Linked DNA regions of Oreochromis niloticus. The protein of the gene in region 1 interacts with the protein of each later gene in a pairwise test. Links are inferred from orthologs where the notes say so. Each region holds a gene or a part of one and is shown in the gene's direction. Other genes may lie near its edges.

Region 1 (11,498 bases):
CTGATGGCTAGTATTAAGGACTACGTTATCTACTGTATGGAGCTGCTGGGCAGAGGTGAGAATGGATTTTACACGTGAGAAACAGAGGGAACTGAAAACTCTACGACAAAACATCAGGAACAGTTAAAGAACAAAAGATGCCAAATAAACCTTTAAAACATAATCATTTAATCTGTGGAGTAGTATTAAAAACTGCTGCTGACACTTTCTCTTCTTTTGTTTAACAGCTCAGAACAATCTTATTACTTGCATGTGGTAAATCTGAGAAAGTTGTTGCAACTGTCCCAGGATGTTTAAAATATTAAACATGACGTTTGAGTGGAAAACTGAATAATATCAGAAGACTCACGCTGATCTTGTCTTTTAGCTTCCACCTTAAAGGAGGAGCAAAAGTCAAGGATTGAGAAGAATCTCATCAAAGTCCTCACGGTGAGCTGAAGGATTCCACAAATCTAATCATCATGTTGTGGATTTCAAACATTAATATAACTGTAGTGTGTTTCATAGGAATTAAATGCTTAGAAGCTGCAGTTGTGCAGCAGCTGCTGTGTTGTAAAGCTCAGAGTAGCTAAGCAGAGGTCAAATCAAACGTGATGCATCCACATATTTTAATTGTCCTTTTGTTTCCAGAACGAGGTCCCAGATGCTGAGCCCGAGTGTGATCCGTCTTCTGTCAGTGCTGCCAGGTCTTTGTGGAATGACCGCATGGCTTTGGCTGGATCAAATGAACTAACTATAGAAGTGCAAGACTACATCCCATTCAGTTAGTAAACACATGATTCGCTCAAAAAGGGGTTTCAGTTCTCCTCTTTTAACGTGTACATGCCAAGAAGAAAAAGTGCATGCTGACTAATGATACTGGGTTTAGAAAGAGTTTAGTATAAAGTGAGCCTCTGGATGTATTCTTTTCCAGTTTTATTAAAAGTTGGATCATTAAAATGAGATCCTGCTAAAGTAATAAGTTAATGCAGCATTCAGTTTGGGATACATGCCCAGTAAAAATACAGTTTCTATATCTCGATATAAATGGGTTATAATAGCTGTCCTTTTTTTCTTACTCCAGTCCAGTGTAAAGCCAAATTCCAGTCTCCCAGTTTCCATGTGGACCAGCCTGTCCAACTGCAGGTCTTCCTCCGAGCTGACTGCCCTCATCCTGTGTCTTTCGGCAAGCTAGCTGTCAGCCTCAGTAACCAGGTACGTGCTACAAAAAAGGCTGTTTGTATCTCCACCTCCATGTATGATACCAGCTTGGAGCGCTTTGTCTGTACAAAGTCCCACAAAAGTCTTGTGTTTATTTCATGTATCTACTTGAGTCTGTAATTATCACCATCTTTGTTGGACAGCTAGTTAAAAACCTCTGCAGTAATACAACCCAGACTCGTTCATGTTCACCTCGTTTTAGTGCAAACAGCTGTGACTGAAAGTAACATTAACCTTCCTTTCACTGTTTTTCATGGTTATGCTGCAGTAGCTTAGCTGTCTATCACTCAGCCGTAAAACACCGATGGGGTATTGTATGTGACAAAGGTGTTTTTGTTTATTAGGAGTACAACCAGTGGTGTGTGGCAGAGTGGTCGGGCCAGGAGGCCATGAGTCTGTTACCAGGAAAAACCACATGCTACAATTTCAGCTTTGTGGCAAAAACTGAAGATGTTGGTAAGAAGATAGAGGTAAGGAGACTTTTTTGTTTGTGATTGTGAGACAGAGACAGGGATTGAAACGGTGATTAATACGTGTGTTATTATAGATGACGGGTATCGAGGTGATGTTGGGTGGCGACAGTGGCCGCTGTGTGTTTGTGAGCTGGAGAGGAGCAGGTGGAGACGCTGCGTCTGCACATGAAGCCTTGCAGGCCAGCAGGTGTTCACGGCGTTGGGGCCGTAACATCGAAGCGCGTCAGGAGCTGGACTGGGACAGCCTGACCATGCAGCACAGCACCATGTGAGTCAGAAAAAGTCATTACCAGCCCGTCAGTTTGAACAGTGTCAGTTTACACGCTGGGATCAAATCAGCAGAAATGGTTCTTGTGTTTAGGATCATCTCCAGAGTCCCAAAGATCTCTGTTCAGCTGAGCCACCAGCCTCCTGCACTCACCAATGAAATGTACTGCATCAAGCTCACTGTCCAATCACAGGAGGAGGCCATGGCTAAAGATGTTAAATTAACTGCTGGCCTCAAACCAGGTACATCAGTACTCTAATCATTTTCAATAACATACAGCAGCAAACAAATGCTAATTTAGCATTTATCTTGGTTTGCATGTTCAGGTCAGGATGCCAATCTAGGCCAAACCACTCACGTGACACTCGACGGGTCAAAGGTTTGTGATGACAGCGCACCTTCCTTGCTCCCCGATGTGCCTCTCGGAGAGCTGAAACCGGGCGAAAAGGTGACTCTCACAAAGAAATGTCAATTCAGCATATCGCGCAAAACAGCAGCATTGTCAGGTTCTTCACAGCAAAAGAAGAAATTTGAGTTTGTGAGCTGTGTGTTTGCCTCTAGTTGGAGAAATGCGTGTATGTCAAGTGTGTATCAACCGGACCCAGGGTCTTCTTGTTCCACGTGGCCTACAGCATCGACACCACAGTAGAAGGACGACAGATTATGTGCAAGTGTCATAAGGTAGAAAGCTTGTCTGACCTGCACAGTACAGCTAACAGTCGGCTCAGTGATAAACAGATGTCAACGTTTGTTTTACTTTTCTGGTTTACACCTCTTTTTTTCTCCTCTTCTCCAGGATGAGACGGTAACCATAGAGACACTTGTTCCATTTGAGGTTTCGGTCAAGTTTGTCTCCACCAAGGTGTGTAGTTAGGTTTACCCGCTTTCATTTTAGCTTGGATTTTACTAATAGTCAGGGAGGTGTGAAGGGATCTTAATAAGCTTAATATCATAAAATACAAAAGCAGGAAATGAGAAACATCCTGATTTATCTGATTACATTTACATTAGAGTAAGCTACCATACACCTACCTAAACAACCTGTTTGTTGACAGCTTCTTCTAGAATTAGAATCAAGTTATGTAGAGAAAAAATCTACTGAAACAGACGAACACTCCAAGTACAAAGTAAAGGACAAAAGAAATAAGTAAGAAAAAGGTTAAAGTAAAGAGAAAAGCAGGAGCTTTGGTATGTTGCATTCAATTAAATAAATTTCATTCCATTAAAGTAAGATAATGAGTCTTTTTTTATAGTAAGTCTAATAGAAATGATTATTATCGTCTCTGCTTCTGTGTGCTGCTGCAGTTTGAGCCATTGGACCGGGTATCAGTGGACATTCCCTTTCTCCTAATGACTGACATCCTGTCGTCATCTCCGTGGCCTCTTCTGCTGACTTCCTCTTCTCTGCAGCTTCTTACTGTGACCAGCAACACACCACAGCTTCAGTCGCAGTTACAGGAAGGTATCCGAGTACTTAACATAGTTACCTAAAATTTCCTGTTTAGATTTATTGCTGAAAAGTAAAAAGTGTATGTTTATGTTCAGTGGTTCTACAAACAGGGGAGTGTGCCAGTGAGTGTTTCTGTCTCCGATGTCCGCCACAGACCAACATCAATAACACGGTGGCTACAGGACAGTACCTGCTATCGTGGAGGAGGTACGTACACGTTAATGGAGGCTTTGACATGCTGCTGCTGGGTTTTCAGAGGGCTTGAACAGACTTCTAAAACTGTTTTACAGAAACTCCTCCAGTCCAGACAGTCCTCTCATCCAGACTATAGTCAGTCTGCCTCATGTGGTCCTGGAGATGGTGCCTCTGTACATCCACGCTGGTCAGTACGCAAGCATCGCATGCACACAGTGTTCCTGATTTTACAGATAATATTCCAATACACTAAGTAGAATTCAAAAAATGTTCTCATTATTTGCATTTGCAGTTGTGAAAGATGTTAACCTCTGGCTGTTGGTGGTGTTACATTGTTGTGTTTTGATGTTTTTCAGATTTGCCGTCATTCGGGCGAGTCAGGGAGTCTCTTCCTGTGCGTTACCACATAGAAAACAGAACGGCTCTGGTGCAGGAGGTGGAGATGGCCGTGGAACCGTCCGATGCCTTCATGTTTTCTGGTCTCAAACAGGTACAGCTGCGCCACCTGTAGGAATGGTGTTATAAGGGCTGATGGGTCATATTGATTGGACAGTTTTGGTGATGTCATCGTGCTTCATCAATACATTGAAAATCTGAGCAGCAGCACTGAAACTTGCATGTGTGTGTGTTCTATCTATCTGTAAATATAAAACTACATTTATTTTAGCTTTACAAAGAGTCACTGTGTGGCCTCTGGCTTGATTGTACCAGACGGTCCAGAGTCACTTTCACTTCAAACATTACCTCATTCAAGGTTCATCTTGACTGCCTTGACCTAGCCTTGATTTTTGGCTGCACATGTATCCAAATGACAAATCCATTTGTGTGTGTGTGTAGGTGCGTCTCCGTATCCTCCCCAGTTCAGAGCAGGAGATGCTCTATAACTACTATCCACTGATGGCTGGTTACCAAACACTACCACAGCTCAACATCAGTCTGCCACGTTGCCCCACCTTCAGCACTCAAGCTCTGAAACGCTTCCTCCCCCAGCGTATCTTCGTCAAGGTAACACACATAGAAACCCATAAACACTAAGGTCAAAGTGGAGATGTTTTCCTTGTTGGGCTAAAGCATCGTTTCTGTCTTTCTCCACAGCCTCAGGGTCGACAGTTGGATGACGCCTCCATTGCTGCAGCTTGAGGAGAAAATGAAAGTGTTTCTTGTAAATAAAAAGAAAAAGCAGCATTGTGTACTGCAGGTAGTTCTAGATGTATGATACCACAGAGATTACACAGAGATTGACATTATTGACACTATTTGCTTAGATCACCTGTTGACCAAACACCAGCAAGCATCGAGCACCGATGATCATTTAACAGCTAAGATCATGTGTGAGTCTGATGTGAGCTTCATGGACATTTGAGGAAAGTTTAATATATGAATAGGATGTGATGATGATTTGATTAAACTGAAGTGGTCTAAACCTGCTGTGTCTACAACCCTGAAAGTGTGAGACAATTGTGCATACTTTAAAATGGCTACATTATATCGATAAAGTTGAGGGTCATCATTATGTTCAGAAGTGGGAAAAGGGTTAGTTGGTACTGAAAGACAATATAGGAAAGATAGACATCTGTCGCTACTGCCCATTTTCTTTTGGTTCATGCATTTTAAGCAATAGTAAAGTGATCAGGTAATGCTAACAATATGACCCGAGTCTGAGACGCACACATACCACCTAATTTTTGCTTCTTAGTTCTTAGACAGACTGTAATTTAGAACATATTTATAATTCAATTAAAATGTTTTAAATACTTTTAATTGGCCAATAAAGGAAATCAGTTTTTTCCACATTATCAAACAAGTTTATTAATTCACTGAAGCTTGTTGGCTGGTTCAAAAATGGCAGGTTGTTAACTCAGCAAAGATGAGTTGTACTGTCAGCACTCAGATTATAACCACACCAAAGTAAAGTGACTCCATACTGTAGTGGTTTACACATTTGCATCATCTGAGGTCTGTACTACAAAGCAGGTTTACTCTGGGGCTAACCCTGCGCTGCAAAGCTAGTTTACTGCGTACTGCTGTACATCGCCATGGTAACTTGTGATGGGAACATAACGTGCTTTGGAGCACGTTATGTTCCACATTAAATGTCAACAGGTATAAAATCACCATCTGCTGATAAACCAAGTTTCCAGAAAATATCCGTACGATTCTTTGAAGATCTCTGTGTGCGAATAGTAGCAGGAGCTCAAGTATATTAAGTGTCTGAAGCCTTTGTGTTTCCCAAATGAGCATCAGTAATAAATACAGATTCTTAGATGCAATTTTATTCCTTGCTTTTTATTCGTTTTAATTATTTTTTTTACCTTTTGGCACAAAATTTTGCATCATCAGCGTGATTTTTTTTTTTTTTTTTTAACCTTAAAAAGTGATATAAATTGCATGACACATTTTTAATGACTACATTGCAAAATATGGCTTATGTAGCAAACGTAATACAAATTAAAACTCGTATATGCAGATTAAAATTTGATGTATTTATATATTGTCTAAAGGTTCAGCAAACACTCCATTATCAAAAAAGATAAAGGTTTCTGGCAGTTATTTCATGGTTCAGGTTTTAAAGGTTTAAGAACAATTAAGTATTATAAGAATTAATATATAAATTGGATCAAGCGCAGGTAGACTCGGCCCATATTTGATTTGTTTTTGTTTTGCTTCTTTAGCTGATCTCAGACCAGTACACACTCAGGGCTGCGGCCAAAAAACAAAACAAAACAAAACAAAAAACTAAAGCTGTCTTATGCAAATTTGGATATTATTTAATGGAACAACAGATTATAATCAGACTCTCCTATGTTTTAACAATAAAGTTCTGATCATGATAAGTCTGTTAACATTCCCAACCGGCATTTCTGTCGGCTTTTCTTTTAAGTCCTCCCTGAATTCTGAACAACAGTTTTCTGTCTTCAATTACCATATCAGGCTTCAATCACTTCTTCTTCTTGATTTCCAAAGCCATCCCACAGACTACCATCTGATGCTGCCTAGGTACATTCACCCCCCACACCACTTTACAATCTCATTCTCAGTCTAAAAAAAATTGAATTTATCAATGGATTAATACATTTAGAAATATTTATTTATAACTACTGTTTTTACTGTCGAATAATTTATCACAACATTAATTCCTTTAATAATAAAAAATCATGAGCAAATGTATGTACTAATGAATATTTAATTGCACAATTAATTATTTATCAATGAAATTGTTTATTTCGATGTGCGCGACTCTCTCGGTCCTCCACACCTAGAGGGCGATATCTCAACAACGCCAGACTGACGAATCTCCAAAGTCTCGCAGAGCCAAGTTGTCGCGATAGCTGGTTGGAGTCGGATTCAAATTGTGGCGCTTTGGCTGGTCGTTAAGAAAGGTATATTTAATGCTTGTTTTTGTTATTGTCAGTTTATCTATTTTATAGGCACTTCGTCAGTAGAAGAACTGCTCACAGTAGAGTTGTTGTTGCTAAATAAAGAAAATATCGTTAGTTCGGGTTTGTCATATTGAAATCTTAAGCCTCCCCAGCCTTAGATTGTGTGGACAAGCAGGAGCTAGCTGTCTTTACGTGACTTGTTGACATATTTTGGCCGATACTGTATGCGTTTACTATCTGCTGTAGCTGTTGCGTATTGTCCTCCTGGACATTTACTGTCACTATTAAACTTATTAACGGCGGGACGTTAGCTTCTGATTAATTGGAAAGAAGGAAATTAAGGCTGTATAGCACTGTCTTACATAATAAACGAGAACACGGTATAGACCTTAGCATAAACGGTTGCATTTATGTATGCCTTTCTTGATTACTTTTGTGTGTCACTTTTTAATACATGCAGTGTTTCTGAGTTGGACAGTGGAGTATTAAAAAAAAACAAAACTATATTATACTGAAAATAAAGCAGGATCCCAGCTTAACAGCAACAAACCTGTGTTACACTGACAAACAGGTTAGTAACTTGTGTGACTTCCAGTTAGTCCCACTGATCTGTGAGCTCTCAGATTTCAAAAGCTGCACCTGTCTACATGTGTTCATCAGACTCCAAGTGACAGAGAAAATGAAAACGATAGATAAAATAAAAGTCACATGGTGATAGCAAATAATTCAGGAACTGGATATTGAATTGTTAAGACTGACACCAATATTTGTTCATTCAAAAAGCTGATACATCAAATTATATATATTTTTTTTTTAGCTTTCAGACACATTGTAAGTACTTACTAAGATATTAATGACAATGCAGGTTAATGTTGTTGAATCTTGTTTAATGATCACAAGACATTGGTTACTGCTGGACTAGATCAGCTAGTTGTTGTGTTTGTGGCATTTTTTAATATTTGTTGTCAACATGGCAGTTGCAGAGTGCCCGTGGACACTTGTTATTAAGACAATATAAGAACAGTGACACTGAGCAGCTCCAGTCTCTGTTGAGCTCCTGGGCTTTTTCAGTAATGACTGAAGCACACAGCAGATTTTAACACACATTTCTGTCCTTCCCTTTCCAGATGGCAGCAGAAGAGGAGATCAAGGTACTGAGGATCCAGCTCAGAGAGAAGGAGGAGCAGGTTCATCAGGCTGCTCAAGCTGGCCTGGATCTCCTCAACCAGCAGGTGGAGCTGCAGAACCGACTGGATGAACAAAGAGTAGAGATGACCAACGCCCTTGAGGTCCGCTCTTACACAAATAAAGAGAAAGAGCTCCAGTAAACTGTGCCATGAACCCAATACAAATGTCATTGTTTTCCTAATTTTTCCTCCTGTTGGTTATCCAAACTAACTTTATCATTGTTTCAAACTTCTCCACCTGTCTTTGTATGATGTGTGTGCCACAGGCTCTCGAGCAAGACAAGTACTCGTTGCAGAAGGAAGTGGAGCTGAAAACTCGGATGCTGGAATCACTGCAGTCGGACTTTGACTGTGTGAAGAATCAGCAAAAACGGTACCTTCAAGAACAACAAGAACATCTGGAGAGGGCTCATAGCATGGCACTCAGTGAGCTTCACAACAAGGTACAACAGCATGTGGTCTGAGGTCTGTACTAGCGATAGGCAGCTATGCTGAGTATACAGAGTTATCAGAGTTCCTTTACCAGGTTAAATGCACTATGGTAGCTTACACTCACCAGTAAAAGCCCCAATTCTTGAGTGGCTGTTAGAGCAGTAAAGTAAGATACTTGTTGAGGTATAGCACGCTGTTACTGCCTCCAGAACTGCCTTAATTCTTTGTGGGGCTGGAAACATGATTCAGAGAATCTGGTCCATATTGAAATGATGGAGTTGCACAGTTGCTGCAGATTTGTTGGCTGCACATACATGATGCAAATTTCCCATTCCACCACATCTCCAAGGTGCTCTGAGTATGAGTACAGTGATTGTCCTGTTGTAGAAACCAGTTTGATATGATTTGAGCTTTGCATTATGCTGTGCATTACACTGCTGGAAGCAGCCATAGAGACACTGTGGTCATAAAGAGATAAACATGTTCAGCAACAATACTCAGACATGCTGCAGGATTCAAACAATGCTCAGGTAGTGCTAATGGGCTCAGAGTGTGCCAAGAAAATATCCCTCACAGCCTGACTGGTACACGGCAGGATGGATCCACGCTGTCATGTTGTTTTCCAACCTGTGATTGTAGTTTTTGCTCTCTCAGATCCTGAGGTTGCAGTCTTCTCTAGAGGAGTCCCAGCTGAATGAAAAACAGCTCAAACACAAACTGGAAATGCAGACGGAGACGCTGAATAACAAGATGGAGGAGCTCAGAGCTCTAAACGAACACACGCAGAGTTCCATGACGTCGGAGATGATGGAGGTGCAGATGAAGATCACAGAGCTGGAGAACGTTAAAGTGAGTGACTTACAAAGGAAAGTTCTACAGACAGCTCATTCTCACAGTGACAGTGTGATAATAGAGACCATCCAGAGCTGAGCTGCTCTGTTAAGCTGTTCACATAAAGGCTTGTGGATTTGACAAGCTGCTTAGTTTTTCCAGATGTTTTTGGTCCTTTGAGCACCACAAAGCATGTACCATCCATGTCCAACCAGGTCAACTAACACGAGAAGTATCTAGATGAATAAAGATGATTAATGGCATGAGAAGAAGGGGTGTTCTCAAGTGGTTGTTGAATCAGCAAGTGATGTAATCTGTTTTGGTCCGCCAGGTGGAGCTGGAGCAGGAGCTGCAGGAATCGCAGTACAAGGAGCAGCAGCTGGAACTGAGCAACAGCAGCCTGCAGCGGCAGCTGGAGCGAATCACAGAAGAGAAGGAGGAAAGGGAGAAAGAAGCGGTGTCCTGGTTCAATGCATTAGAGGTAAACATGTTACAGTCTTTGTGGATTTAAAGTGAAAGCAATAAAACACTCATTCCCTCATCTGCTCTTCTCTGTGTTGTGCAGTCACACCAGGCTGGACCTGGAAATGCCTGGAAAAGTCTTGAATAAGCACTTTCACTAATCTCAAAATAGATTATTATATTTTCAATCTAAAAATCTTAATTAAAAGATTGAAATTAGGAAAGTAGGAGCTGATATTGTGCATTTAAAAAATAAATATTAAAAAAATAAAATAATCATTATTCGAGTAAGTAGAATTGGAACGATGACCAGAACGTTGGCTCACGTTCTGGTCATCAGCCTGGTCTCTGGAGCACTCTGATGAAGCTCGTACTTGCTGCTGGGTTGGTTGTCCCTGACTCTGCTGCAGTCATGTCCTGTGATAGTCTAATCAGGGCAAAGCCAATCATATGGCGCAGCCAAGTTTGAATTCTTAGAGAAGCGTGTTTAGTTCCATACAATAAGATATCCATTAACCACATCAGTAAGCATTTCCTGCGTACACTTAGTTACATTTTAAGGTGCATTTCCACAACAAAAGAGTGGTCGCTTCAGTCTTTTCTTCTTTGGCTCTCGGAGGAGGCGGACACACTTTTTCTCCTCTCCCTTAGCTTCCCTGCTTATGTCCTTGTCTAGTCTCGTGTTTTTCTTTGTATTTTCCCTGGAACACTCTCTCACAGTCTGTTCTCTAAAACCTAAAAGAGGAATTATGGATTTGATCAACTGGTCCCTGAATGCAATTGACACCCTTTTCTCAACGAGAAGTCTGGGCTTGGGTGAGCCTGAGTGGTGAAGATATCTACCTATTCGGAACCATGGTAACAGGGTTCTTGCTGATCGGAGCTGGCTTGGCCCTGACTTATCGAAGAATTAAGAAAGTGGAACCGGCTGTTCAAACCCCCACAAGGCTGCCCGCTGGGATTGGAACGATGGGAAGAGGCGTGAGTTTCTCAAAATGGGCTCATTGAGTCAGCACGGATAAGATCTTGGAGAGGCTACGGCTGCTGTGAACACTCAGAATAAGACCTCTGACTGCAGACTGGATACATCTTGGAAGCGCTAGCCCGGAATAACATCTCTGGGCGCAAAATTGGATGACATCTCGGGGAGGCACACTGCCGTGAGTTCTCAGACATTGGCTCCTTGAGCACAAGAAGTGACAACATCACAGAGCGCAAGTATGGCGAAGCTCGCGGCTCTCCAACGGGAGATTGAGAGACCAGTGTTGGACTGTAGAACTGCTTTGAAATTCATATGAGCTGTTCGCACTAAAGTAAAAAAATAACATCACTTATGCGGATACCCCTTTGGCCAAAACTCCCTGATAACGACTGTGTTGAGTCTGTTCCTTCCCATCCCATGCAAGGCCACCTGGGTTGGCTGGAAGACTGTTTACTTAGCCTGGCAGGGCGAAGGACACTGTCTCAGCTGAACTCTGGACACGCACACACATACATATACTGATACTGATAAGCACTCACCAACGCATCACCCTCCCTACCCCGGATCCAACGCCACCTCCAACGCTTACCTCCCCTCTGATGTGGACATCGGGTCAGTTGGAGGCGCAGTCGAAAGAT
Region 2 (10,541 bases), on another chromosome or scaffold:
ACACCATTTTAGTGTGGAGCATTTAGTTATTAAACTCAAGCCAAAGGCTCAGTCATTAAAGAAGTTACTGAATTATTTGTGGCAAAGCAGATAAGATGAGAAACATGCACAACACTATTCCAGTCTCTCAATCACACAGAGGCAGTCCACCAAATCATCAAGCACTTAAAGTGGCATTAATCAGTACAGACAGTAGAAAATCATCCTGCCACTCTATAGTGGCAGGACACAAAGCAAACTGTAGTAGAGCTGTTTTATATTAAAGCTTTTAAATCCTGCAAAATGCTACAATTCATATCAATATGTCCTGTTCAGAATTTCCATTGGCATTTTTAAGTGTGCTACTGGAAAGCATGCAAAGCATCCACAAAATACATGAAAAACTACTTTATGAAAAATAACTTTTGTTTTTTCCAGCTAACTTCACTGTGTGCTCCCTCAATCTTCCTGTTCTTCTACAACCTCTCTGTCCTCTCTCTCTCTCCATCCTCTTCACTCAGCTAGAAGCTAGAAAATGACAACAAATATAATCTCATAATAGTTATTATAGAACAGTAATAAGTATAAGAGGGGTATCCACAACTGACAACAGGACAGCAGACTGCTTACATACGCAAACTCATCATCAATGAATGTGGGAAACCTACAGCTTCATCATTTTTGGTGAATTTGACTACATTTCCACTCTTACCAGTTTCTTTTTGCTCTCTTTGCTGTCTTCATCCTGTTCTCTCTCTTTCTCTCCCTCTCTGTCCTCTCTCAGTCTTAAAACTTAAATGTTACAGTGAATAAAAGGCATAAACTGATCCATATCAGTTTATAGCAATATTCAAACTGAATACAGGCTGCAGCTGGACATAGACAGGTTAGACATAGACACATTATTTTGGCTTGCTGTCACTTGGATTTGGAGCTGTAGTGTAAACAAACACTGAAGCCAAATTGCTTGAGCAGCCCAAAAAACAGTTTTAACTCACCTATGCCCCATAGTGAATGCCTTTCAAGTTTCAAGTGAGACCATGCTTCATCAGCTTTTTTTTTTGTTTCAAAAAGACATATATATGAATTTACAGACTTCCCAAGGTCCATGTCAGCTGAAGGGACAGGGTAACCTGGGCCTGGACCCCTGGGAGCCATTCATCACACAAGCATTGACTTGGGATGACAACTTTTGGCAATAAGATGTGGACAGCCACTTTGGGGCCCACAGTGGTTGAAATGTTATGAGGCCACGATTGTGTTTTGATGCTCTAACAGTCTCCTGCTGGCAGGTCAGCAGTCACGGCCTGGATCCAACCTCCACCACTTCTAACGTCCTCTGTTCCTCCTCCGGGTTTCTTAGTTCTCCTCTGTCCACTGTGGGACTTCATATATTATGATGAGCCACATCTACCTGGGGAGCAGGCCATATTGGTACAGTCATGCCTTAAGCCTCCCCAGTAGTCAGATTTATTCGTGTCCTTCAGCGGTCCCTCTGCTTGTGGTGCTTCTTGTGTTGTGGACGTTGTTTCTGTCGCTTGGTGAATTGTCATACCACTTTCTCAGATTGCACTTGTCAGCGATATTAACCTAGAACCTAGAACCCATTTTGCCTGCATGTTGGAAGATGTCGTGACTGTAAGGTATGAAGCCCCTTATTGCCAGTTGTCTTACGTTTTCCACTGCTCCAATGATAGTGACGTCACGATGAAGTTAATGCTCATAGCAAACAGGAATGGTGACGATCTCTTTCTGTAGGTAGTCTTTGGCCTTGAAGCGGTGCTTGAACCCTCTCAGGTAACTGCTGATTATTACCTTGATGTGGTCTGGGATGTGATAGTGCTTCAGTGCTGTTCTGAGAAGATTGTGAGGAATTAGCCGAGTCCAGCCAGACTGCTGTCAGATTTCTTTGACCTGGCTTTCACGTATAATCTTGCTCAGGACCAGGGCCATTTTTTTTTTTTTTGCCATTTATCTGGGTTTGGGTCATTGAGGCAGCAGACTAAGAAAAGATGCTCAGACCCACTTCTTACCTGGCTATAGCCTCTAGGTTATCCAGCAGAAATGTTTTTGACCAATGCTTTCCCAAGGCAAGTAAGAGTCATCATCTCTCCAGCATGTTCTCTCCCAGTTACACATGCAGGATCCATCCTCATCAGGTGTTCTCTCTGAGTCGTCCTAGATGAACAAGCTCCTCACCTGTCTCTATGTCCCTGAAGTCAACTTGGGCAGCTGGGGATGTGACTGCCAAAGCCACTGACTCTTACTTGATCTACAAAGCACCAGACCCTTATAGCTCCCTCTGCCTCCACAGGAGGGTGGACTCATGAGTCTTGTTCTGGGTCCAGGCCCAGTGGGCTAAGGCTCGGCCACTCAGTGCTCATTTGAATGACACTTAATCTGAAGACCATTTTGCTTTGGGAGGCCCACCAGAAAAAGTTTCTCTCGACAACACAGGTCTTAGGAACATGGTGATGGATGGAGGGGTTATTACAGTAAATCAGTGCAAAATATTAGACCATAAAAAAAATAAATCTAAAGAAAGCAAAACAACATAAATCTGGGCAGACAGAATTATCAGCAAGTTCAGAAAACCAGCCCGAAAGGCCTGGAAATAATATGACATCTGTGAGTAAGTTTAAAAAAAAAACCCCAAACAAACCCAAAACATCCATTTGTAAGAAAACCATTCACTTCTCCATTACTCCTTGAGTAGTTTTACAACGCTTTAACATCAATTTAAATGGGATTTTTCTGATTTAACATTATCTTGAAATAAAGTGTTATCTCTTTTTAATTCAAATGTGATTTTTTCACATTTTTAAAAGGAACAGCTGGAAAATAAAATGCATCATCTTAGGCAGCTATTCTTTCAATAAATTAAAAAAGCTACAATTTTCCACAAAATAGACCCAGCCTTATTTCAATCGCAGACTCTCAAAATTGCGCACTATTCTGATGATATTCTGATGTTATGTTTTAGGACATTCATTTTCTGGATAGACCTGTCTATATCTACTTGTAATCCCAAAATGTAACAATTTATGTTCCGAGTTACTTTTGCCCTCATGACATTTTGTATGTCGTCACAGTGAGACACAGAAAATAAATTTGACTTAAACAAAAAAGTAATGACACACAATGAAAACAATGTTGCCTTTGATTCCAGCCCACATCTAAGTTCCAAGCTCAACAGACAGCTGTGTTTACAGCATGTATTCAAGAGTTAAACCAACCGGTTACAGGTGGACATTTTAAAAGCAGTGATGTAACCTAGTCCTTGAACTTTAAATGGATCATTGTATTGTAGAAAACAAATTTTCAACCATGTAAAAACCTGAAAGGAAACTCTGTGGCCATTATTCACTGCACAGAAGAGCAGTGGCTCTTTGCAGTGCCTTAAACCTGGATTCTTTTTAGCACAGGGCCAGCAGAGGGCGACTCCTCTAATTGTAGATAAGTGTAAGGAAAATGCCTTTCAGTTTTTTTGATCTGTAACTTCAGTTATACTTAAGATTGTAAGTTAAGCTTTATTAAATAGAACGCAGTGCTGATTTCAGATATTATTATACCCCCAGTCAGAGTCAAAAAGAAACATAGAATAGGGAATGACATAGGACCTACCTTCAGTTCTAGCCAGTAAGCTTGCAATATCAGTCCTGACATGCAGGGGTGGATCTAGAGAAATATTCCTAGGATGGCGTGAGGGTGACAGGGAAATCACATGGGGTGGCAAAATCAATGTGCAGGTGTTACATTCTGTAATATTTATTATATATGCTTAAAATACACCAAATGCAGTAAGTATACACCTGTTTCCTATAAACATGGTCAGTAACCTTCTTATTGGCTTTAGGCCAAATAATAAAACATTTCCGTTACATAAAAAATGTGCATTTTGATTTTATATATAGGCTACTGTGTAGCCTATATATTAAATAAACATGTAGCTCAATAAGTATAAAATCCAGAATACTACACAACATGAGGTGGATCAGTTGGAAATACAATTTTTCTAATTTAAGTTTCACATTCTTGTGTTAGAAATAATCAAACTGTTACATGCTTACAAAATGTCAGGAATCTGCACTGTCATGACCAAGTTTTTCACCAAAAATTTGAAGTGATTTTTTTTATGATTTATGGGGTTATGATGCTCACCTTCATTCAGTTTCCAGAGTGTAACAATCAACCACCTGTGTTGAAATCTGAAATGCCCATGATGGTGATTCAAAATATGCTCTGGCACAATCACAGATATCAGTTGCTACTGACAACAAGAAATACATTTTTAATTTTTTGAATCTATATTGAATTTTAACTAGCTAGGCTCAAAGTGTTAATGCTAGCTTATTTTAATAAAAAAACAAAACAAACATTGTCATATGTCAGAGGATTTGCTTTTTTTTTTATTCAGCTATGATGACACTCGCAAAATTGAGAAAAGAAAAAGAAAAAAGATCCAAGGCTCTCTATCTTCTTTACTGTGAGGGTAAATATAACACAATACCACTTGATGGCAGCAAGCAAACAGGTAAATGCAAAGCATGAAAAGAATTTTCCAAAGAGCTAATTAAATACTCATTATTGACATGCTGAGCTGTAGTGACTAATTGTTTCTTACAGAGCAAGGTAATCTGACTAAATGTGACGTGTTTGATGGCAGAAAGCAACAGGAGGAAATCACTCTGGACAGGAGAAGACATCTGCATTGGTAAAGAACATACACTAAAGAAGTGAATAGGTGTCACTAGCTAAGTCCATCAGATTGATTGAAATACCAGTATTAAATAGAATAATTAGAGGCTAAATTCTGCTGGTTTTGAGTAATATCTCAGCAAATTCATTGTATTTGAGTATCACCACAAGAAAGTGGCTGTGAATTCAGTAATCAAATAATCTATGAAATTTCTACATTTGATCAGTTTGTCTTAATTTCTTTACATCTGAAGTAGAATATATCAGACAAGTTCTTCATCTTACAACTTACAAGGCACTGGAAGGCATGCAGCCACTGACTGCTTTAATTATTAATAAAAAGTAAAGGAAACAAAACTCAAAGTAGTATGCAACAGTGTTCCTACCTAAAAAAAACCTCAGCTCATAGCTTAAGGTCTTGTGTTTGATTACACAACCACCACACGTTCCGTCTCCAAACAGGGATTTAGTTGCTCTTCCTGGGTGATACTATTACAATTTAAGAACGCTCATATGTCATTTCAGCAGGAACTCCTATAAGGTTTTTTGGGAGTCAGAGGGTAACAACCTGTTCTGTTACTTAAGTAAAAGGATATGTTGTGTAATTTAACAATTTAAGTGCAAATTAGACTTCTGCACTTCCTCTTGGCTCTTGGAAAACCTAGCAAATCCCATGATTTGGTAACTTTGGGAATTTCAGATGGGGAAGACACTCCTGTTGGCTGTTCTTTAAATGTTGATGCTCCTGCACATCAAGGGAGCTCTTCTTCATTTAGCTTGCTCTGAGGACAGTTTCCAAGGACAGTTTCCTGATAAAGAATGTAGGGTAATTAATGAGAGCAGCCTGGAGGATATGGATTAGGAAAGGAGGGAATGAACAAAGGAAAAAATGTCAATACTATGAATTATTTGTCCCATTTGAGACTCCACCTCCCAAAAAATACAGTAAAATTGAAAAATATATAGTTAACTTACAAATGACAACAACTGGTAATTAAAGAATGTATAACAGGGTGAAATATAAACCACTGTTCAGTGTTCAAAGTCATTTGTGATAGGCCATGAAGTTGTAGCCAAAGGCTTCTGTGGGTGTTTGAGAGCCACTTTCTTTGTCCATCTTGAAGCCATCAAGTCTGAAGTAGAGTTGGCCTTTCACTTTCACCCTCATGCTGCTTTTTGCATGTTTTCTCAACCACTGCTGTTTCCTTCACCCAAGGGTGGATCTGTGGCCTCCAACAGAAACACCAGCATGACCTTCCTGCCAGCATTCCAGCACACACACATACACACAACCACTTTGGTTCTGAAAACAGCAGAAAGGCTAAAAGAGCATAACAAATAAATCAAGAAAGAAAAAATAATTAAAGCCGATATGCTTTACAGTTTATTTTCACCTCTGAACAGAGGGAGCATACAGGGCAGGGAGATGAAAAAGAAACACTGTTGTGACATTTTATGCCAGGGTGAGCAAGCACACCTGCAGAGACAGAAAGGAAGAGAGAGAGAGAGAGAGAGAAAGAGAGAGGAAGAGAGAGAGATAACAGTAGAGCAAAGTAGCGAGAGAAAAGAGGCGGAGCAACACAGAGTAAAGAGCTGCTCAGAGAGGCAGAACAGTCTGCACACATCATCAGCTTGTCTCTTTAGGAGGACGAGAGCAAGAGAGAGTAAGAAAGGGGGATAAGAAGAGACAGACAGAAAAAAGGAAGAAAAGAGAAACTGCATCAAAGAAAAGACAGAGTTGTTGCTGAGCTGGGAATCCATCCAGCAGACTTCAGAGTGACTGGGAGCCTAGTGGGAGGACAGACTGGTTTCTAGCCACAGGGAGTAGACTGCAAAGCACCATGGCTGACAACGTGAATGAGGAGTCGGATTATACCCCAGGGAAAGATGAGCTGGACTGGGGCTATGAGGAAGGTAGGCTGGGATTTCTCAGTATGTGAAGGGATGCTGGAGATGTGTGAAAAGCTAAGGATCAGGAGGAGTTTCAAGGGGGACTCAACCCAAAACTTTACACTTTTTAAAAACATTTAAAAAAATACAATTTGATTCTTTAGTTGGATTTGGGTTATACACTGTACAACATCTGTCAGAACACCGGCTTCATTATTTTTTTAATAAACCACTAATGGTTTTACTCTCTCATCTCCTATGTTGTAGGTTGCTCGAACGGCATGATTTACAGTCAGTGTTATATAGAAAAATATCACAAGAACAATATCACTTCAGTAAAGTTGCCAGCAAACCAGTTATTTATCACTGCACTGCTAAAGGTCTAGGAGACTTGCATCAGACAGTTGTTGGTCAGAGAGTTTCAGCAGAGCAAAGATTACCTTGGACTCTACAAATCATACAATAAAACTCAAAAATGGCTTGGCATTAAGAGCTGTCACTCATATATCACTCATATACTCATATATCTTTGTCTAAAGAGAAACTGAATAAAGCACATAAGCACTTGAACATAGGTTACAAATATTACTGTCATACTTTCAGTATGTCATGTAGTTATGTGTTCACTTTGTCTTTCTGGTAATGCTGCTTTTACTGAGCATCGAGGGATATACTGTCACACTGAACTGTGAAATTCTTACTGTAAGTATACTAAATTATATGGAATACCATGTATGTCTAAGACACTAATATCTGACATGCGAATACCTGGTTAGGTTAAGAGGAGATGAGAGGTTCCCACAGGAAATTCCTCATCTTAATTTATAAGCACAAGCACAGAACTTCCTTGCCATGAGCTGACAGTGCTTACTGCTGTCTAATAAGCAAAAGTTTCCTTTCTTAGGACTTAGCTAAGGTCTCAGTCACATAGACCTAGAGGTTGGTTGACCCCCTGACAACCTCTGATCACCAGGGAAAAATGTTGCTCGCAAATCGTTGCTGCTATTGCCAGGTGAAATCAGCTACACCAAGAATCTGCTTGTGATAGCTTTGGTCACCTGCAGTTTGCATGGAAGACACAGACTTTTCTACAAAGAGTTGTCATTTATGCCACAAGCTTTAGTCAAATGTGGAACAAGTGCAGTATAAATTGGGTTAGGGCTAGGGTTAGGGCTAACCCTAACCCTAACTTTTACTCTGACTGCAAATGTTCTCAATTTCTCATTTTTGTCACTCTTAGTTTCACTAACAGTTGGTGAGTAATTTGCAAGTGTTTACAGAAATTTCAGCATCTTCCATATAAACTGCTGCAAAGGTGGCAGCCTGCTAGCAAGTAAAGTAAAGGGGGTTTCTCAAAGAAGGGTTTTGGTGTACCACTTTACATCTGCTTGCAAACACTTTCTTGATAAAAACAGCCAGCGACTTCCAGCAACCACCCACAACCAGGTAAAGAAAGCACATTTTTCTGCTGCAACCAGTGAATTACAAGGTCACTGACTGACTGGTTTTGAGGTCTCTGTGCGAGTTGATCAGTTGATTTCACAGAGACTGCCAGAACCTCCAACAGCCATTGAAGGTGCACTATCAGATGGCCACCAACAGGTCTCTAATGCCTCTGTGGCTAACAATCAGGCACAGTCATTTCTTGATTAGCTTACACATAAGAATGATATCATCTAACACTAAAGTTAACAAGAGAAGAAATAAGCTTACAACCCCCAAATTTTTTCAGTGACTGAAATAAAAAAACACAATTACTCACAAAGCTAAGTTCTTAATTTGAGGTCATTAAAGCAACAATCCGCAATCTAGTAGTGCCACTGAAATTCTCACTGCCTTTAGTAAACTGTTGTTAAGGCTTTAGTTGCTGAGGAAAGCGAGAATGTGACTGCTCCCCCTTGCCTCTTTGCTACGGTGTGAATAGTCAGCCAGTGAGGGCCGTCTGTCTGCAGTCCCAACAGAAAGGCACACTGTGAGGCCTGAGCTCCTTTTCTTGGAGGCAGATGGGTGTACTGGACTTTCCATGAACACCATACTGCCAGTGTGTGTTTCCTCTTTCTAAAAACACAGCAGGTTGTGCACATTATACACATCTCTTACTGTTGCAGTCAGCTGAAAGTGAAGCAAATTCTGTCTTTCAGTGGTATCACTTTCTCTACACTTTTTGCTCTTCACACTCTATTAAACAAAGGCATTACTATCTTACAAAATATTTCAGTGTTGTGCTGTTGACAGGTGACCTGTCTCATTTAGGGCAGACTTGCCCTGTTTTTACAACTGCAGTCTGCTTAATTATGCTTTTATGAACAGTAATCTCATTGTCACACTCACTGCAAGAAATCCTGTTTACTAGACACTGAGAGGAAGCAGAAAGAAACTCAGGATCAGAATGAGGACAAGGCAAAGAGGAAGAGGGACTGAAGACCAGTTTTAGCCAGTCTCGTGTCCCCCACACGTTCTTCTGAAACCACTCTTTTCCTCTCATGCACACACCCAGCTCTGTTTATATCACTTCAGGGAATATTATTTGACTTTGATTTTGTGGCGCCAAACCCCAATTTAAACCACAACTACTATTTATACAAACTTTAATTTAAAGTTTAGCAGTGCTCACCACCTATATATATATGTGTGTGTATATATATACATATATAGAGAGCAACAAACTCTAATAAATAACTAATACTAATCAAACAGTTGTCTGTGTTGTAATAGAAAATAATAGTGCCACTTATGGTACCATAAATGGGCTTTCATTGTTACTAGGCTACCACTGCCATATTTATTATAATAATTAGAGGTCATGACTTTACTGCTTGTAGACTTGCTGACAAAAAGAATTTCAGACACTCCCCTCTTGTATAAAACAGCACCCACGTTTTTCCAATAGGAAGAGCAAACTACCAGCCAAGTTGGATGACTTGTTGAAATCTTAACTGGTAACTGTACTCTAAACATACAATTCCCTGGTCTAGTACATGTTTGCTCACTTGCATGGCTAGTGCTTGCTCACTAGCCATGCAAGGGAGCCTTGTTAGCATGGCTAACAAAAAGAAGGGGATTTTTCTGGTATGGGAAAAAGACCAAAGCGAATGACAGCTGAATTGATTGTTCAGTTTCAGGGTCAGTGATTTGGTTGCACCAGCTGTTGGTAAAATAAATCTCTAAAGGTGTATCTTAATTCGGATACTTGTGTTACTGGCACACAACATTAAGTACACAACATATTTACTTGTTTCCTACATGAATTTAGACTGATAGCATGTTCACCAATTAAAACCTGAGTTGTGCACTTACTGAGAATGGCATTTGAAACCTTTGACTGCGATTGGATTGCTAGCTGCTGTCACCATCTGATCACAGATTGTGCAAACTTTCACCAAAAATCCAGAAGCAAAACTGCAGAAAGTTAGAAACTGATGCCCTTGAGCGAAAGAAGAATTGAGTGAAGAAGAAAAATAGTGTTACTATTTTTATGACTGACTCCATAAACTCATTCTTTTACAGAGTTTTTACAGAAGTTTTTTACAGAGATTTTCCCTCTAGACTTCACCGGAAGTCTTTTTGTAACCATAGATATCCATCCAATCCACGTATCCATCCATCTAAGAGGCAGGGTACACCCTGGATGCCAGTCTGTTGTAGGGCTTATTGCAACCTGGTACCCTTCATATGGCATGCAGATTAAGCCGCTTCCACGCTGCTTTCATTTTTAGCAATGACCAAACCCTTCATAAGAGCTGTTTTATGTGGTGCATATTGTTTAAATATGCACCACATATTACAGCTGCATATTACAGCTAGTCAAAGTTTGAACTTTGAAACAGCTGGTGCAACAGTTCCCTTTACTTTTAAGTGTGACTTGGCAGGACACTTAAAACTGTGCAACCATTTTTAATGGTCATGTTCTTAGTAAGCCTATATTTTACAACAATAATATGAATGTGTGCTCTATTTCATGTGCATTTTTATGC
Region 3 (11,152 bases), on another chromosome or scaffold:
TACCAGTGTCATTTTGGTTCTGTTCTTCCTCCGGTTTAGTGTTGTTCTGTTCTGCCGTCTACCCCTGTGTTAAGTCCGCGTTGCTAGTCTGTGTCTTTGTGTGTATGTGTTTCCTGTTTTATTGTGACGGTCTGTGTCTTATCTCAGTGTGTTCAGTTTACTCTTCCCCTGTCTCGTCAGGTCTGATTACTCCCAGCTGTGCCCTCCTTTTGTGTCTCATTCCCTCGTTATCCTTCTGTGTATTTAAACCTCGTGTCTGCCTCTGTTAGTTGCTGTTTCGTCTGTGTTATTCCCCTCCATTTTCCTGCGTATTCTGGCCGCATTATTCTCCCTGCATCTCCGTTTCATGTTTCAAGGTTTCAGGTTTGTTTTTTGCTTAGCTTTTCCCAGTTTAGTTCATTCTTAGGTTTTGGGTTTTCGCCCACCTCTTCTCCGTTTGTGTCATCCTTTGGTTATTAAAGCTCGCTCACCACTTAAGCAGTCTGCATCTTGGGTCCTTATCTACACTCCACACGTCTGCCACATCGGACGTGACAATCTGTCCTCTCTGTCCAAAATGTGAACGTTGGCATCCTCGAAAGAGTGACCTTTATCCTTTAGATGCAGATGGACTGCTGAGTCTTGTCCCGTGGAGGTGGCTCTTCTATGTTGTGCCATGCGCTTGTGAAGTGGCTGTTTGGTCTCTCCGATGTAGAGGTCTGGGCATTCCTCGCTGCACTGTACAGCATACACCACATTGTTCAGTTTGTGTTTAGGAGTTTTGTCTTTCGGGTGTACCAGTTTCTGTCTGAGTGTGTTGCTGGGTCTTGATGTGGTGTGGGGAACACCCCACACCACATCAAGAACTCCACCGACTTCACCGACAAGGTCCAGAAACTTACCCTGGATCCAGATGAAACCATGGTGTCCTTTGATGTATTCTCCCTCTTCACTTGCATACCCACCACGGAGGCAGTGGAGACTGTCAGAAAACGACTACAAGAAGACAGCGCCTTGGAGGACAGGACTTAACTTCACACCCGATCAGATTTGCACACTGTTAGACCTCTGCCTCACCACTACATATTTCAAATACAACGAAGGCTTCTACAGACAAAAACATGGCTGCGCCATGGGCTCCCCCGTGTCACCTATTGTAGCCAACCTTTACATGGAGGAAGTGGAAAGGAAGGCTCTTGGCTCTTTCAAAGGGAGAGTACCCAGCCACTGGTACAGATATGTAGACTACACCTGGGTCAAAATCAAAACACAAGAAGTGGAATCCTTCACTGCGCACATTAACGCCGTGGATAAAAACATCAAGTTCACCAGGGAAGACACAAAGGATAACTGTTTGCCTTTCCTGGACTGCGCTGTGCACATTGAAGAGAATGGCAACCTCAACATTGAAGTGTACCGGAAGCCCACACACACGGACCAGTACCTCCTCTTTGACTCCCATCACCCTCTGGAACACAAACTTGGAGTAATTAGGACCCTACACCACCGAGCAGAACATGTTCCCTCTAAGCCTGAAGGGAAAAAGAAGGAACACACACATGTAAAGGAAGCACTTAAAACATGTGGCTATCCTAACTGGGCGTTTATAAAGTCAGCAAAGATGCACAAAAAAGAAGATCAGACACCAGCGAGGGAGGATAAGAAAGACAGACGCAACAACATTGTCATCCCCTATGTAGCCGGTGTATCAGAGAAACTCAGGAGAGTTTTCTCCAAACACGACATGCCAGTGTACTTCAGACCCAGCAACACACTCAGACAGAAACTGGTACACCCGAAAGACAAAACTCCTGAACACAAACTGAACAATGTGGTGTATGCTGTACAGTGCAGCGAGGAATGCCCAGACCTCTACATCGGAGAGACCAAACAGCCACTTCACAAGCGCATGGCACAACATAGAAGAGCCACCTCCACAGGACAAGACTCAGCAGTCCATCTGCATCTTAAGGATAAAGGTCACTCTTTCGAGGATGCCAACATTCACATTTTGGACAGAGAGGACAGATGGTTTGAAAGAGGAGTGAAAGAAGCCACCTATGTCCACTGTGAGCAACCATCTTTGAACAGAGGCGGTGGTTTACGACACCAACTGTCTGCCATCTATAATCCAGTTTTGAGTTCCCTTCCCAGACGCCTTAACGCCCACTCACATTCTGGGCCATCTGACCTCAGGAAATCACATGGGGCCAGGTTTAACAATGAGCTCACCCGAAACCCTGGCTGATTGGGACCCACACCCGCTTTCACACCTTGGCTCATGTGATTAGGTAGAGGATCATCAGGGGGTCCTTTGTCCCCCTTTGGGGGGAAACTCCCACTGGGTTTAAATCTGTGACTCTCCACCATTTGACCCTTAGAACTGAAGAAGCTTCTCGGATGAGAGGTGAAACGTCTTCAAGCAACTTAAAAAAAGATCCAGACGCTTTTATTTCCAAGCTCCTTAGACTACGATGACCTGGATGACTGAGAACCTTCACAGACATTTTGTAGTGTTTCTTTTCAGTCACAAATAAAGACTCGTTTTCAGTTTGAAACATTCTCTCCTGCATCATTGTCTGCGCCTGAGTCCATCCCTCTCAATCTTCACTCTGTTTGCCTTGCAAACCGTGACAGTACGCTCCGACAATAACATGGACCCAGCAGACCACAGGCTGTACAAGCGGCAGGAGGCAGCCATCGCCCAGCTGGAGGAGGAGCTCTACTTGAGGCCGTGGTGCACTCCTGACTACGGGCCCACATTCTAAGGAACTCGGCTGGCTCTTGGCAGCCACCAGAGCGGTCCCTCAGGACTGCCGAAAGCCCCCACCAAGCTGTGGCCGCTTCAGGTGGGAATTCTGCTCATGCTCTAGCCTCGGTGTCGCCATTCTGCGTGCCGGAGGCTCAGCTGTTTACCCCGCTCGATTCCACTTCCCAGAGAAAGCAGCACTCAAGCCGTCGCATACATACTCCGCTGAGCAACTCCCGGTGGTGAGAGATTATGACTGTTTTTCACACTCTCCTCCTGAGTCCACAAACAATAGACTCAGCACAGATAGGTTTGGTGTTTCTCTACTGGATGATGATGTGGACTGGGAAAACCTTTTTGTTTTTGCTCCCTCTGAGCAGGGAAGGATCAAAGACCATTATCACCCTCCAAAAAAGTCAAAGTCAAAGACTGTTGGTTCGAGTTCTGTCCGGTCGGGTTTAGTCAATTTTGGTTCTGTCATTCCTGAGTTGAATAACTCTGAGACTGTGTCTCCAAAGATTGTTAAATCAGAGACTGTTCTTTTCAAAGAGTGTTAATCTTGGTGGTAAAAATGCAAAACCCACTTTGGATAAGTCTTTGTTTGCTGAGCCTTCTCCTTTGCCTCTCTGTGTTCCTGCTCCCAGGGGAGCTCAGGCCTGGCCTTTCCCTGCACCCATTTCAGTTCCTCAGGTGAGGGAGGCTGAGGTCCAGCTGGTTCACGGCCGCCCTCACCCTGGGAGCCAGGACAGGTAAAGGCAACCGCTGGGCAGCTGCTGTTCCCACCCGAGGAACGGGTGCAGGGACTCAGCCGGCCTGGGAGCCAGAGCAAGGACCAGCTGACCTCCGCCTCCCTCACCTGAGGAACTGAAACGGGTGCAGGGAAAGGCCGGGCCTGAGCTCCCCTGGGGGCAGGAACACAGAGAGGCAAAGGAGAAGCACCCTCCAGCACCCATACCTACTCCTCGGGTGGGAGTGGCTAGTGTCCGGTTCCTGTTTCTGCTGGAGGCTCAGGCGAGCCGGTCAGGCCCCTGTCCTCATGTCGTAGAGGCTCAGAAAGGTTAGTTTAGAAAGGTTAGTTTAACAACCATCACCACCATTACTACAACCATCATTACCGCATACACTACAGCCTTTGCTTCGAGTCCCTAGTTCTATCATTAACTCAGCTGTTAGCTCAGTCTCCTGTTTTGTTGACAGCTTAGTCTTCAGTTCAGTTGACAGCTCTGTTACCAGGTCAGGCATCTGTTCTGTTACCAGTTCACTCATTAGCTCTGTCGTCTGCTCAGCCATTAGATCACTCCTTTGCTCACCCACCTGTTCTGTTACCATGTTCATCAGCTGAGAGCTCTGAGCTCTCTCAGCCTCCCTCAGCTACTTCCCCTGGGAGTTCTGCCAGGCCATCTCAGTTTTCTGTCTTTGCTGAGAGCCCGTACAAGCCTTCCCAGCGGTCCACAGCAGCTTCCATTGAGAGCTCTGCCGGGTTGTCTCAGCCTCCTGTCTCCGATGAGAGCTTGTGCGAGCCATCTCTACAGTCTGCAGCAGCCTTCACCGAGGGCTCAGGCGAGCTCATCCTGCCCGCAAAGGACTATGCATTGCTGCAGCCTGAAAGGCAACCTGAGCTGGCTGTCTGTCTCACGCAGCTCCAGCTAGCTTCGCCTGAGCCAGGAGTTTCCGTACCTTCTGGTCCTGCATCTGTTCCAGCTAGAGGTTCAGAGGAGCCAGTCCAGCATCATGTCAAGTCAGCTGGGGGTTCAGGATAACTGTGCCAGCATCATGCCACGTTAGCTGGGGGTTCTGAAGAGCCTGGCCAGTATCATGCCACATCAGCTGGGTGTTCTGGAGAACCCGGCCAGCATCTCCTCGTGTCCACTGACGACTCTGTTGAGTTGAATTGGCTTAGGTCTTATCTGTCTGATAGAATTTTTAGTGGTAACTTTTTGGGGTAGGAGTCCTTTTCTGCTGCTCTTCAGTTTGGGGTCCCGCAGGGCTCAATTCTAGGGCGTCTGCGTTTTTCATTGTATTTACAGCCCTTGAGAACCATGCTTAGAAAGCATGGAATATCCTTCCACTGTTATGCCGACAACTGTCAGATTTATCTGCCTCTGAAGCAGAAAGATCTTTCTCTATTAAACCCCTACTGGCATGTCTAGAAGATATAGAATCATTTATGGCCCTAAACTTTTTTAATTGTAATTCAAGCAAAACAGAGGTGATCCTGTTTGGTCCTAGAAGACCTTATGGTTCTTCCTCTATTGATTCGGGACCCCTGGCAGAGTAATTACAACTTGTTGTTACTAACTTGGGTTCTAAAGTGGACAGTGATTTTATATTGAACACAAAAATTAGGGCTACTGTGAAGTCCACTTTTTATTCTTAATTAATTTCATTTCATTTAAGGTGCTTGACAAAGGTAAGACCTATTTTATCCGGGCTGCATTCTGAAACAGTAATCCATGCTTTTATTTCAAACGCTTAAACAGTTTTGACCCATCTTACCTCTCTGGGCTTCTTCATCCTTACTCAACCCCCAGGTTTCTCAGGTCAGGTGACAATCTGGTCTTGGTGCTACCCAGGTCCAAGAGGAAGCTCAGAGGGGACAGGACCTTCTCTATCGCTGATCCTAACCTCTGGAATAACCCGCCCCTGCACATTAGAGAGGCCCCTTCATTGTCCATTTTTAAAACACATCTTAAAACCAATTTTTATTCCTTGACACAGTTTGACCCTGATTTTACTGCTCTGATTTAATCTAATGTGCTGATTTTATTATTTTAATTTAATCAATTTTTTTTATTTAAGATTTTTTAAAAATTTTATTTAATGTATCGGGGGGGGGGGGGGGGGGGGGGGGGGGGGGGTTGTCATGTTAAGTGTACAGGACTTTGTTTTCAGCTGGTAGTTGTCTGAAAGTGCTATATAAATAAATTTTTTCCTTGCTTGCTAACAGGTAAACTCAAAAATCAGTTTTATTCCTTGTTATCTGTTGACCACCTATTCCTTACACAGACTTTCTGTCTGATTTTCAGACTATTTTTAATCTGATTCAGGGCTTTGCTCAGATAAAATATTTATTGTGTGAGATTTTAACATCCATGTAGATACTGAAAATGACAGCATTAACACTGCATTTTAAGCTATTATTATGGGAAGGCCTCTTCTTTCAAAATGTTTAAGAACCCACCCACAACTTCTCCTCCTTTAGTTACACTGCATTAGGTCTAGGGTGCTGGGTCCTTGCCATAATGTATATTCTTTTCCACTTACCTTGTTTTTCAATCACTGTGTGTTTATGCACAACTTTGCATTTAATTGTTAGTTATTATTCAGTTCTGGATCTCTTCCATAACAGTTATAGTTTTCTGTAAACATTATTAGACCGATAAAAGGCCCTTTCATATAAGCTAGGTGCTCCCAAGACCACCTTTTTACTGTCATACTTTTAGTTAACATATTTTGTTTTGCACTATGCATATTTTATGTCATTACGACATTTATTGTGGAGATTCTCATGTAGGAACTATTGTACTGCATGTTGGTTCCCCTGGTGCGTCTGAGTGAGATGCACACCCATGTTAAAGTATGAGCATGGCAAGCTTAATGGCAACCCCAAGTTTGTACAACTCACATTAAAGCAGAGGTGATAGTGATAGTTGAACTCGGACCTGCATGATTCCCGGCCCCCTGGTGGCAACATTGTGTCACTGCACCAAGGACCAGGCTGCTGCAAATATTAATCGACACACACGTTCACCAGTTGCTTCTTCATAAAGATGTCCGGAAGCCAGACATTAAAGTTGTGTTTGGAAAAGTGACACAAGGTGGGAGAAACAATAAGAAACTGTGTGAAGCCTGACAACAACAGCACCAAACGGTAGCAAGAAGGGTAATGGCCTGTATTTATATAGCGCTTTTATGGTCCCTAAGGACCCCAAAGCGCTTTACATATCCAGTCATTCACCCATTCACACACACATTCATACACTGGTGATGGCAAGCTACGTTGTAGCCACAGCCACCCTGGGGCGCACTGACAGAGGCGAGGCTGCCGGACACTGGCGCCACCGGGCCCTCTGACCACCACCAGTAGGCAACGGGTGAAGTGTCTTGCCCAAGGACACAACGACCAAGACTGTCCGAGCCGGGGCTCGAACCGGTAACCTTCCGATTACAAGGCGAACTCCCAACTCTTGAGCCACGATCGCCCGGGAATTAATGCAATCAAGTTCACAATTCATTTCTAAAGTCAAGTTAAAAGGAGGTTAAGGAGATTAAGAAATAAATGCATAACAATTCAAGAAAAACAAAAATGTCACAAACAAATGAAACAGAAATTGAAGTTTCCAGTGCAGAACAAGCTGCAGAAGCAGAGCAAGTGGATGAAACCTGTTTAGAGCAAAGAGTGGAAGTAGAGCTGCATAGAAGTGAAAGGCCTCACATGCTCAGAGAAAAGGGAAAAGAATTCCATAAAGAAAGGATACAATGGCTTCAACGCTGCTTTGACAGTATTTATGACAGATGCAAAGCATTAATCAAAGTTGCAAAAAATCTGTTTAAAAGGAGATCCACTTGACATTCTTGAAGGTCACATGAACATTGTACAAAGAGAAGTAGCCAAGCTTAATGATATTTATGATGAGTATAGAGCAATGGATGGACCACCTCATGATATGCATTCCAAGCTAGACAAATCCACCTCAGTGACTACAGTGATTTTACAAAACATCAAAGGTCACATTAAAGGAGAAAAGCAAGAGGAGATTGTATGGCCTGATCCTAGCTGTATATTTACATCCTCTTGCTCTGTTAGTGTCTCAGTTCATAGCCAGTTTAAAGCCAATAGAGTTATTTCTAATGGCTCCTCCACCAAAAGACAAGAAGCTGCAGTGGAGTATGAAGCCACAAAGGCTTTGCTTCAGATTAAGACTGAACAAGAGAAATACAGAGAAAAAGTACAATTGCGTGAAGAAGAAAAGAAACGCTTTACTGCAGAACAAGATGCTGCTGCAATGTCACAATGCCTCCTAGAGGAGAAGGAGGAAACTGAGGCATGTTAAAAGAGAAAAGAAGAAAGCAGCTGTGATAAAGCGACAACAAGAGGAAGGTGCTGCATTGAGAAAGTCATTTGAGGGCTTGAAAAGAGAAATTGAAAGATGGAAAATCTAAAAGGATTCAAGGCAGCAAAAGCAGAACTACAAGTTTACGAGGAAGACTACTTTTCAGTGAAGCAAGAAAGAGTCACTCCTGCAACCACCCCTGCAAACGTACAGGTAACAGAGTTCAACAATGCTACTAATCAACCCTCAGAACTAAAAAGAGAGGTAAACATCACTCATTGGAGCGCAGGTGAGCTTGTAAAGGTTTTGGCAGAAGCAATGTCAGCTAATAGACTACCTATTCCAGAGCCCTCTGTATTTAGTGGGCATTTACTTAAGTTTAAGCATTGAAAAGCATCTTTTCAGGCTCTAATATTGTGAAGGAACATTCCCACTGCAGAAAAGATATTTGTCTTACAGAAGTATGTTGGCAGCTGTGAAGCCTTAGATGGGTATTTTCTGATTGGCTCTGAAGATTCATATGAGGCAGCATGAACGTTATGAAGGGCCTTTTGTCAATAGCTAACGCCTTTAGGGACAATTTACACTCTTGGCCAAAGGTCACAGGAAAAGATGTATTGCAAGTATTGCATGTAATCCCATTATATCATATCAAACCATAAGACAAAGTGACTTTAACAAATCAAACACAAAACCTCAACCTAGTATCTGTAAGGTGCTCATTTCTGCCACTAAGCATGGGTCAGTTGACGAGGTATGTTATATATGTTATGTAGATAATTTTATGTCTCTATTTTACCCATTTTACTGTTGTGTTTTATGTTGTTAACTGTATGTTGTGTTTTAGTTCAATCAGTTTGTGATCAAGGTGATGCTGTAACAATATCATCCCCATTATCCTGATCACCAGTGACAAGGTAAGTGAAACCAGATAATATAATGATACCCTCGGTATGTTGAATTTGCTTTATAGCATACGGCACTAGTCTTTACTCCAGCCACCTTCATTTGCTGTTTGTTACTGCCCTAGTCAGCCTTCAGTGACTAACTTGAGCATTTAAGAATATCTTATTAGTTAACCTGGGGAAACTTTTGGGTTGCATTGGGTCATTATCCATTTGCACTGTCAAGCACCATCTGAATAGTTTTGTAGCATTTAGCTGAATCTGAGAAGACAGACAGGAGCTGATTAACAGTAATAACATTTGAAGTGAGTTATGAGAACCACTGAGCCAGGGTCTGGTAGCTTCTCCTCTTAGAAGGGAGATGTTAGAGTTAAGCTTCAGTGAAAAAAAACATTCCATTAAATTAACCTCAAAGATGAGGATGTTATGAAAGAGCATTAGGGCCCGTGGCAAACAAAAAGTGTGTGAGTCTTTTGTTTTGGGGTTTTGTGTTGTTGATGTTGTTTGTTTGTTTTTCCAGAATTCTAAGAAAAAAAGCTCCGTCTCCAATCCACTTGAAGATACAGAATTTTTTCTTCAGGATTCTGGAAATACAACAACAACAAACAAATGGAAATGATGCCCCCACTTTTTTGTCAGTACCCTTAATCCTCTTACGTAGGTTGTTGAGTGCACTTTGTGCCGAGAAAGTGAAAGGTTTTGATTTCTGCTTTGCGGATTTTTATAGAAGAATATATAAAAAATATTTAGTGCATTGTGGTTATGCATTACGAATTTCAGTTTAGGTTTTTCCGACAAACTCAAAGTCAGCATTTTGTTTATGGTTACCATAGTAACATGACGAGGTGCGACGGGAATTGACGTCGGATACGTTTATGAAACGAAATAGAGCGATTTTTTAATCAAAGCACAACCTTTTGGCTCTTCTAAAAACAGGCGAATCAAACATTGAGCTCAGCTGTACCAAAAATGCCTCTGGTCGTGATGGACTACGTCTGGACCCAGACGGAGACGACGCTTTACATTAATGTGCCTCTAAAAGGAACGAAAGCCGGGAAGGTAGACATTGTCTGTACGGACGATTACCTCAAGGTAAAGTTCTGAAAAAAGGAGTTTTGTATTTTTACTGTTTGTGTATCAAATACTATATCTATGCGACTTTACCATGAGCCTGGTCTCAGTAAGAGACTAAGCTGGACTGCATAGCATTTTTTTTCTGTGTCACACAGAATTGAGACATCGTGAAACGATGTCCCGCAGTTTGATCAAGTTTATGAGCAGCAGCCAACTCAGCTGCTGTATATATTTTCGAGCGCTTCTATCAATGCTTTTGTAGTCATCTACGTGAAAAGGAAAAGAAGGAAAAGAAATATATAAATATAAATTGCCCTGACCATATTAAGCTGTCTGCATGAGTTTTTCCCAAATGCATCATTAAAGCCCCCCTCCCAACCGGATATTTTTCTACCGTCCCCCTCTGTCTGCATAAAAGCAGAGTTGGAACACACTGTGGTACCATACCCTCGAGAAAAAGGCAATTAACAATGGAAGAAAGACAGACCATCATAACACTTAAAAATATAGGTCTTTCCTATAGAGAAATTGCAAAGAAAGTCAAAGTGTCAGTGATTACAGTTTCCTTCAGCATCAAAAGGCACTCAGAAACTGGGGCAAACTCTGATAGGAAGAGGTCTGGCAGACTCAAAGCCACAACCTAACCAGAGGACAAGTTTCTGAGAGTTAACAGCTTGTGTGATAGGCGGCTCACAGGACAACAGCTTCAAGCACAGCTTAATAGAAGTTGTAGTAAGCAAGTCTTAGTTTCAACTGAGAATAGAAGACTTCAAGCTGCAGGTTTGACAGGACGAGTTGCAGCAAGAAAAAGCCAGTGCTAAGACGTCAGAATAACTATATATATATATAAAAGAATTGTATATATATATATATATGTATATGTATATATATGTATATATATATATATATATATATATATGATTATTTTTATGTATATATATATATATATATATATATAAATTATATATGTACATCAAAATTCTATTCTAATTAATCGCTAAACAAGAACCAGAAGATGGTCTTACATTTCTCTTAACAACAATTCTTACAGTATAACATGTATTCATGTTTTTTCTTCTTCACAGGTGCATTTCCCCCCTTATCTGTTTGAAGCCTTCTTGTTTGAGCCTGTTGATGATGACAGAATCGCAGTAAGGGTTGCAAATGGATGTGCAGTCATCACTTTGCCAAAAAGGACCAACAAAGTGTGGGAGCATCTGATGATAAGTACAGGTAAAAGCTTCAACTTGTGGTCATTTCAATAAACAACAAGGCTCTGGTCTTCTGAACCCATGATAATGTGTCATTGAAAGAATGACTGACAGATAATACATTGTCTCTGACAGTTCAAAAAGAGACAGTGTAGGTCATGCAGCAGTCCTGAAATTTTT

What was found.
Region 2: the proteins of spdl1 (region 1) and ca8 interact in binary tests that used the Homo sapiens proteins (3 or more experiments, as listed by UniProt). The two-hybrid records come from large-scale screens. The link is inferred for Oreochromis niloticus from reciprocal best matches to the Homo sapiens genes SPDL1 and CA8.
Region 3: the proteins of spdl1 (region 1) and dnaaf4 interact in binary tests that used the Homo sapiens proteins (3 or more experiments, as listed by UniProt). The two-hybrid records come from large-scale screens. The link is inferred for Oreochromis niloticus from reciprocal best matches to the Homo sapiens genes SPDL1 and DNAAF4.

Annotation. Positions count from the first base shown.
Region 1 is NC_031966.2:4,895,710-4,907,207, forward strand, and holds the start of spdl1 (protein Spindly), read left to right. Parts: upstream 1-6,836; 5' UTR 6,837-6,966; intron 6,967-7,405; exon of another isoform or gene 7,406-7,537; intron 7,538-8,093; coding exon 8,094-8,255; intron 8,256-8,419; coding exon 8,420-8,596; intron 8,597-9,239; coding exon 9,240-9,434; intron 9,435-9,747; coding exon 9,748-9,897; intron 9,898-11,498. Other genes in the region: trappc11 (trafficking protein particle complex subunit 11), read left to right, coding at 1-55, 368-429, 631-763, 1,064-1,194, 1,545-1,670, 1,748-1,941, 2,035-2,183, 2,268-2,389 and 8 more. UniProt on the Homo sapiens protein: Required for the localization of dynein and dynactin to the mitotic kintochore.
Region 2 is NC_031982.2:2,296,380-2,306,920, forward strand, and holds the start of ca8 (carbonic anhydrase-related protein), read left to right. Parts: upstream 1-6,261; 5' UTR 6,262-6,518; coding exon 6,519-6,591; intron 6,592-10,541. UniProt on the Homo sapiens protein: Does not have a carbonic anhydrase catalytic activity.
Region 3 is NC_031972.2:38,647,923-38,659,074, forward strand, and holds the start of dnaaf4 (dynein axonemal assembly factor 4), read left to right. Parts: upstream 1-6,872; 5' UTR 6,873-7,995; exon of another isoform or gene 7,996-8,629; 5' UTR 8,630-8,699; intron 8,700-9,207; exon of another isoform or gene 9,208-9,321; intron 9,322-9,493; exon of another isoform or gene 9,494-9,623; 5' UTR 9,624-9,656; coding exon 9,657-9,779; intron 9,780-10,846; coding exon 10,847-10,994; intron 10,995-11,152.